Linked DNA regions of Canis lupus familiaris. Each later gene encodes a partner of the first gene's protein in a complex. Links are inferred from orthologs where the notes say so. Each region holds a gene or a part of one and is shown on either strand. Other genes may lie near its edges. The genes, in order: MKI67 and NIFK.

What was found.
Region 2: the proteins of MKI67 (region 1) and NIFK are in contact, whole or in part, in an NMR structure (PDB 2AFF), measured with the Homo sapiens proteins. The link is inferred for Canis lupus familiaris from reciprocal best matches to the Homo sapiens genes MKI67 and NIFK. Residues at the interface, in NP_002408.3 of Homo sapiens: Thr9, Ile10, Lys11, Arg12, Ser13, Pro18, His19, Phe20, Pro21, Ser23, Leu24, Arg31, Gly32, Ile33, Glu34, Cys35, Asp36, Ile37, Arg38, Ile39, Gln40, Leu41, Pro42, Val43, Val44, Ser45, Lys46, Thr66, Asn67, Ile91; in NP_115766.3 of Homo sapiens: Val228, Asp229, Ser230, Gln231, Gly232, Pro233, Thr234, Pro235, Val236, Cys237, Phe241, Leu242, Arg245, Gln248, Val249, Leu252, Asp256, Lys257, Asp259, Glu260, Ile261, Val262, Phe263, Lys264, Gln265, Pro266, Ile267.

The regions. Positions count from the first base shown.
Region 1 is NC_049249.1:37,276,469-37,280,277, reverse strand, and holds part of MKI67 (proliferation marker protein Ki-67), read left to right. Parts: coding exon 1-3,809. UniProt on the Homo sapiens protein: Protein that associates with the surface of mitotic chromosomes and acts both as a chromosome repellent during early mitosis and chromosome attractant during late mitosis.
Region 2 is NC_049240.1:29,898,129-29,902,629, forward strand, and holds the start of NIFK (MKI67 FHA domain-interacting nucleolar phosphoprotein), read left to right. Parts: upstream 1-1,690; 5' UTR 1,691-1,760; coding exon 1,761-1,865; intron 1,866-2,298; coding exon 2,299-2,436; intron 2,437-4,501.

The DNA.
Region 1 (3,809 bases):
AAGTAGGCCTAGAGGAAGAGCCCTCAGCTTTCAGGAAGCACACCCAAACACCGAGGGAAAGCACACACTCACACAGAGAACCAGGAGATGGTGATGATGAAGACATCAAATTATTTAACCAAACTCCAAAACAGAAACTGGACTTTGCAGAAATTGTAACTGGAAGCAAGAGAAGGTCAAGAACACCTAAGAAAACTGCCCAGTCCTTAGAAGACCTGGTTGGCCTCAGAGAGCTCTTGCAAACACCAAACCAAACAGATAAACCAGTGGCTGATGACAAAACCACCAAAGTTCCCTGCAGATCTCCACTAGCAGATCCAGTCAATACACCAAGTAGGAGGCAGATCAAGACCTCTCTCCAGAAAGTAGGCTTAGAGGAAGAGCCCTCAGCTCTCAGGAAGCCCACCCAAATGCTGGGGGAAAGCACACACTCACATAAAGAACCAGGAGGTGATGATGAAGGCATCAAAAGGTTCAAGGATACCCCAAAGCAGAAACTGAACTCTGCAGAAAATGTAACAGGAAGCAAGAGGAAGAGGAGGTCAAGAACACCTAAGAAAAACATCCAGTCTTTAGAAGACCTGGCTGGCTTCAGAGAGCTCTTTAAAACACCAAACCAAACAGATAAACCAATGGCTGATGACAAAACCACCAAAGTACCCTGCAAATCTCCACTAGCAGATCCAGTCAATACACCAACAATCAGAAAGAGGCAGATCAAGACCCCTCTCCAGAAAGTAAGCCTAGAGGAAGAGCCCTCAGCTTTCAGGAAGCCCACCCAAACACCGAGGGAAAGCACACACTCACACGGAGAACCAGGAGGTGGTGATGAAGGCATCAAATTGTTTAACCAAACTCCAAAGCAGAAACTGGACTCTGCAGAAAATGTAACTGGAAGCAAGAAGAGGTCAAGAACACCTAAGAAAAGCATCCGGTCCTTAGAAGACCTGGCTGGCCTCGGAGAGCTCTTGCAAACACCAAACCAAACAGATAAAGCAATGGCTGATGGCAAAGCCACCAGCGTACCCTGCAAATCTCCACTAGCAGAACCAGTCAACACACCAAGTAGAAGAAGGCAGATCAATACCCCTCTCCAGAAAATAGACCCAGAAGAAGAGCCCTCAGCTCTCAGGAAGCCCACCCAAACGCTGGGGAAAAACACACACTCACATAAAGAACCAGGAGGTGATGATGAGTTCATCAAAAGGTTTAAGGATACCCCAAAACAGAAACTGTACTCTGCAGAAAATGTAACTAGAAGCAAGAGGAGGTCAAGAACACCTAAGAAAAACATCCAGTCCTTAGAAGACCTGGCTGGCATCAGAGAGCTCTTCCAAACCCCAGAGCACACCCAGGACCCAATGACTGATGGCAAAACCACCAACATACCCTGCAAATCTCCATTAGCTGAACCATTCAACACACCAACAAGTAGAAGGAGGCAGCTTGAGATCCCTCTCCAGAAATTGGACCTAGAAGAAGAGCCCTCAGCTTTCAGGAAGCCCACCCAAACACTGAGGGAAAGCACACACTCATACGGAGAACCAGGAGGTGATGATGAAGGCATCAAATTGTTTAACCAAACTCCAAAGCAGAAACTGGACTCTGCAGAAAATGTAACTGGAAGCAAGAAGAGGTCAAGAACACCTAAGAAAAGCATCCGGTCCTTAGAAGACCTGGCTGGCCTCGGAGAGCTCTTGCAAACACCAAACCAAACAGATAAAGCAATGACTGATGGCAAAGCCACCAGCGTACCCTGCAAATCTCCATTAGCAGAACCAGTCAACACACCAACAAGTAGAAGGAGGCAGCTCGAGATCCCTCTCCAGGAACTGGACCTAGAAGAAGAGCCCTCAGCTCTCAGGAAGTCCACCCAAACACCAAGGGAAAGTACACCCTCACACAGAAAACCAGGAGGTGATGATAAAGACAGCGAATTATTTAACCAAACTCCAAAACAGAAACTGAACTCTGCAGAGAATGTAACTGGAAGCAAGAAGAGGTCAAGAACACCTAAGAAAAACACCCAGTCCTTAGAAGACCTGGCTGGCCTCAGAGAGCTCTTCCAAACCCCAGAGCACAGCCAAGACCCAATGGCTGATGGCAAAACCACCCGTGAACCCTGCAGATCTCCAGTACCAGATTCAGTCACTCCAACAATCAGAAGGAGGCAGCTCGAGACCCCTGTCCAGGAGGTGGACCTAGAGGAAAAGCCCTCTTCTCTCAGGAAGCCCACCCAAATGCTGGGGGAAAGCACACACTCACGCAGAGAACTAGAAGGTGGTGATGATGACATTAAATTGTCTAAGGAAACTCCAAAGAAGCTAGACCCTGTAGAAAATGTAACTAGAAGCAAGGAAGGAAAGGCTCAATTCCTGGAAGACATGGTCGGTTTTAAAGAGCTCTTCCAAACTCCAGAGCTCAGCAAGGAACCAACAGCTATTGTCAAAGCCACAATAATGCCCTGCAAATCTCCACCAGCAGAAACAGGCAGCACACCAACCCACATGAAGAGATATCTCCAGATACCTCTGGGGGAGGAGGACTTAAAGAAAGAGCTCTCACCTGTCAGGAAGCCCATCCTAATGCCAGGGGAAGCCACACACACAGAGCAAGATCCAGGAGGTGATGATAAAGACATCAGATTGTTCAAGAAAACCCCAAAGCAAAAATTGAACCTTGCAGAAAATGCACCTGGAAGCAAGAAGCAGCCAGGAACACCCCAAAAAATGACCCATTCTCTAGAAGACCTGGTTGGTCTCAAAGAGCTCTTCCAAACCCCAGAGCACACCCAGGACCCAATGGCTGATGGCAAAACCACCAAAATGCCCTGCAAATCTCCAGTAACCGAACCAGTCAACAAGCCAACAGGTAGAAGGAGGCAACTCAACACCTTTCCCCAGAAAGTGGATGTAGAGGAAAAGCCATCAGCTCTCAGGAAGCCCACCCGAACGAGGCGGGGAGCCACACACACACACACACAACCAGGATGTGGTGACAAAGATACCAAATTGTCCAGGGCAATCCCAAAGCAGAAACTGGACTCTGCAGAAAATGTAACTGGAAGCAAGAGGCAGCCAAGAGCACCCAAGAAAAATGTCCAGTCCTTAGAAGACCTGGCTGGCCTCAGAGAGCTCCTCCAAACCCCAGAGCACACCCAGGACCCAATGGCTGATGGCAAAGCCACCAGTGTACCCTGCAAATCTCCAGTAGCAGAACCAGTCAACAAGCCAACAGGTAGAAGAAGGCAACTCAACACCTTTCCCCAGAAAGTAGATGTAGAGGAAGAGCCATCAGCTCTCAGGAAGCCCACCCGAACGCGGCGGGGAGCCACACACTCACACACACAACCAGGAGGTGGTGATGAAGATACCAAATTGTCCACGGCAATCCCAAAGCAGAAACTGGACTCTGCAGAAAATGTAACTGGAAGCAAGAGGCAACCAAGAGCACCCAAGAAAAACGTCCAGACCTTAGAAGACCTGGCTGGCCTCAGAGAGCTCTTCCAAACCCCAGAGCACACCCAGGACCCAATGGCTGATGGCAAAGCCACCAGTGTACCCTGCAAATCTCCAGTAGCAGAACCAGTCAACAAGCCAACAGGTAGGAGAAGGCGCCTCAAGACCTCTCCCGAGAAAGTAGACCCAGAGGAAGAGCCGTCAGCTCTCAGGAAGCCCACCCGAACGCGGCGGGGAGCCACACACTCACACACAGAACCAGGAGGTGGTGACGAAGACAACAAACTGTTGAATAAAACCACGAAGCAGAAAGTGGCCCCTGCAGAAAATGTAATGCTCAGGAAAAATCGA
Region 2 (4,501 bases), on another chromosome or scaffold:
ACCTCCATAGTGCTACAGAAAAGGAAAGGTTTTTAAAGGCAGAGAGGGAGGGGGAAGGGAATTATTAGCAAAGAATGTGTTGTTTTAGGTCCTGTCACCCTTCCTAAGGGGAATGGAAGGGATCGATCATAAATACCTCCAGTTTGGCAGGTCAAAGTTTACGTTGGGGTGGAGGGTGAAGTGCTAAGTCTTGGTTTACTGCCATGAGGCCTTAACATAAGTGACTGAATTTGGGGCCTGCAGTTTTCTTTCTCTTTTGAAGATTTTATTTACTTATTTATGAGAAATACAGAGAGAGGCAGAGACACAGGCAGAGGGAGAAGCAGGCTCCCTGCGGGGAGCCCGACGTGGGACTCGATCCCAAGACCCCAGGATCATGACCTGAGCCAAAGGCAGACGCTCAACCACCGAGCACCCGAGTGCCGCTGCAGTTTTCATTCTACCATCTGCCATTCACCCTCCACCCTAACTGGAGTACTATTATTACCAACCAAAGCAAGGCCACTTCTCGGTGAACCATAGACAGAAACTGTACGAGGTGGTTGCCTCCCAGGGCCACTTTACTTGTACAAACAAGGAGAGTGCAAGGAATGACTTCCAAAGCCTTGATTGCCTGAACAAGGAGAAGCAGGCCCCTTTTATTAGGCCTTGGCGTGAATATTCAGGGTGAGATTTTACCATTATTGTGAGGCTGAGGCACTTTCTGATTCATCTGTGCAGGCATTATCCTCAAATGTTTCTTTTCCTGTTACAGCAATTCCTTAGTTCATTTTCAAAAAGTAAGATTGACGGGCAGAAGTTCCTAGGAGTTTTCTTGAGTTCAGGGGGTTAGGCCAGGGACAGTATTTAAAAGTCATTAACAGCCAGGGCTTTGCTTAGAACCCTCACATCTGGGATCCCTGGGTGGCTCAGCAGTTAAGCGTCTGCCTCCGGCCCAGGCCGTGATCCTGGAGTCCCGGGATCGAGTCCCACGTCGGGCTCCCCGCATGGAGCCTGCTTCTCCCTCTGCCTGTGTCTGCGTCTCTCTCTCTGTGTCTCTCCTGAATAAATAAAATCTTTAAAAAAAAAAAAAAATCTTGAAATAGAACCGTCGCGTCTGCTTGTGTTTACAATAAAACCCAAGCTTTAAGCCTTCAGGTACGAGCCGTGGACCCCCCCACCCCCCGCCCCGCTGGTTCTCTCCGCGCAGCTCTGAGGACCCTGCGCGAGGGTCCCCCCTACCTGCACCCTGAGCTTCCGGGTGTTCCCACGCGGCGCCTGCGGCCTCCAGGCCTCTACTCCAGTACGTCCCATGCCGGGAGGCCCTCGCTGGTCACCAGCGTGCCTCTCCCGCACGGGGCTGTCTCCCTGCACGGGCGCCCCAGCAGCCTCCGGCACCTCCATCCCAGTCTCTCAGCCTCCTAACGACAGCAACGCCCTCGAGGACACAGCATGGGCTTTAAAGAGTGCCTGCGTGGAAGGAAGAAAATAAAAAATAATTAAAGAATGATCAGCAATACCTCAAGGGCGCGGATGTTGTTTGGGGCTTATACATTTTCGAGCCTCTCCTTGAAACTGGCCGAAGGTGGCAGGCCTGCGGGGGGCGCCACGCGGCGCCAGGCCAGCAGGGGGCGCCCGAGCCCGCCGCGCCCCGCCCCGCCCAGGCCCCGCCCCCGCGCCTGCCGCGCACGTCCGCCGCCTCCGCTTCCGCCTCGGAGGCGCCGAGGGCGGCGGGTTCCGGCGGCGCCGCGTGGAGCGCTCGGGCCGGGTGGCCGGTCGCCATGGCGGCGCTTGCCGGCCCTGCCAAGCCGTTCCTGTCGCTGAACCCGCAGGAGGAGGCCAAGTTTCGGAAGGAGGTGACGCAGGCCTGCCGGCGAGCGGCCCAGGTGAGCAGCCCCCGAGCTGGGAGGCCGCCGTGCCCCGGGAGCCGACCGCCGGCCGGGGGGTTCCGGAGCGGAGGCGGCCCGGCCCGGCCCGGCTGCGGGGTTGAGACCTCCGGAGGCGGGGTTGGCCGAGTTCCCCGGACTGACGGGGCCGTGGCGGCAAGTCGCACCTGCCTTGTCCTTGAGCATAAAGTACGCGCCTAGGAAAGTCCGGAGCGGCGGCCCTGGACGCTAGGGCCCGGGGGGCGGTGCGGGGGGCGGCGGGGGCGGCGGCCCGGCCCGCACAGAGCCCGCCCGCGGCACGCCGACGCCGACATCGGACTCCTGTGCACGCGGAGGTGCGGGCAGGATTTTGCACTGAGAAGTAGGGGTTTTGCACATCGTGTCGCAAGGTGACTTTTAAAAAGTTGCGTTTGTCTGGTCTGTGTGTCCCCAGCAAAAGGAGAAAGAAAAACTGACCCCCGGCGTGATCTACGTGGGCCACTTACCTCCAGCACTTTATGAAACCCAGATCCGGGCCTATTTCTCCCAGTTTGGCACTGTTACAAGATTCAGGCTGTCCAGAAGTAAAAGGGTAAGATCGAATTAGATTGTCTTATTTCTTACGAGTATGTAAGTGTTTACCATTTACGGAGGGTGGTCCTATATCATCGTTGAGCACAGCTTATTTCAGAAAGGGAGGTAGGGGGCAGCCCGGGGGCGCAGCGGTTTAGCGCCTGCCTTTGGCCCGGGGCGCGATCCTGGAGACCCGGGATCGAATCCCACGTCGGGCTCCCGGTGCATGGAGCCTGCTTCTCCCTCTGCCTGTGTCTCTGCCTCTCTCTCTCTCTCTCATGAATGAATAAATAAAACCTTTAAAAAAAAGGGGGAGTGGGACACGTAAGATTTATTTTTTTTTTTCACGTAAGATTTAGAACCTGAAAATGAAAAGAGCAAAATCCATATTACTGTTAATGTTTCTTTTCCTTTTAAAATTGCACCAAATTCTCAAATTAAATTGATAACCCTAATAAATGAATCATCCTTATTCTGTGGCTACTAAGCCGGGTGCACACAAGCTTCAGTTTGAAGGGCAGGTATGAACATCTTGTAGTATAGTGAGTTCTTAAGAATAAGGACATCGAAGCCAGACCACCTAGGTTTGAGCCCTGGCTGTACAGATCACTAATTGTGTGGTCCTGGACAAATTATGTAATTTTCCCATGTTTCAGTTTTCTTTTCTTTTTTTTTTTTTTTTTTTTTTATGTTTCAGTTTTCTATTCTGTAAAATATGAATAAAATACCATCCACCTCCTAGGTGAAAGGAATAAACAAAGGTAACAAATGCAGATTTCTTAGAACAAAACCTTAAACAGTAAACCTTTTCTAAATGTTATTGTTACACTGAACCTAACTCCTACTAAAGAAAAAGCTTGTAGGTTTGTTACTGAAGTAGAGGAGTGGCCACTTTATTCTCTTCCTTGCTCGCATCCTGTTTTGTAATCATAGACCTCTCACTCTTGGAAGCTTTTTTTTCTTTATGCTGTTTTTCCAAATTTTATCAAAGTTAATTCTTTTTTAATTTATTCATAGAGGTACACAGAGAGAGAGAGGCAGAGACACAGGCAGAAGGAGAAGCAGGCTCCATGCAGGGAGCCCAATGAGGGACTCGATCCGGGATCTCCAGGATCATGCCCCAGGCTGCAGGCAGCACTACACCGCTGCGCCCCTGGGGCTGCCCCTCAAAGTTAAATTTTGTATTTGATTTGGTATCTGAAGGGTAGGGTACACATCCATCATCTGTTAGTTGTCATAAAATCACAGATAATATGTTGTGATTTTAAGGGGCAGGTGGCTCAGTCAGGCGTCTGCCTTCAGCTAGGGTCATGATCCCAGAGTCCTGAGATTGGCCAGAGTCAGGCTCCCTGCTTAACAGGGAGCCTGCTTCTCCCTCTCTCTCTCTCTCCCCCTCCCCCTCACCCTCTGCTTGTGCTCTCACCCTCTCTCAAATAAATAATTAAAATCTTAAAAAATAATGATAATGAGTAACTTAAATTTAAAATGCCCTAGTATCTCTTATCCTAAGCAAAATAAGATTTTGTCTGTGTTCCTCCCCCTTGTTTTTACATTTGCCTATTTATAATGATTGCATAACATGTGGGTGAGGTATTTTAAACATAAGTACGCTGGAGTATTTAATGGCTATTCGGTAATCCACCATTTTTATAAAATGTCAACTTGATTTCATACTTGTTTCGTAAGTAGGATTGAAGTCACTTTTGTACCCTTCCCCAATCCTCTTTTTCCCCATGTCCAGAGAATTCATGAATCCAGTGATTTTTGTTACTGTTTTTTTTCTTACTTCACATTCATGAAAGAATATATATTGTATATTTAAGTCTATATTTTATCATTCTTTAACTCGATTTTTTTTTTTTTTTTTTTTTTTTTTAATTTATGATAGTCACACAGAGAGAGAGAGAGGCAGAGACACAGGCAGAGGGAGAAGCAGGCTCCATGCACCGGGAGCCCGACGTGGGATTCGATCCCGGGTGTCCAGGATCGCGCCCTGGGCCAAAGGCAGGCGCCAAACCACTGCGCCACCCAGGGATCCCTCGATTTTTTCATTAACAATATTCTGGACTGTGTTTGCATAATTC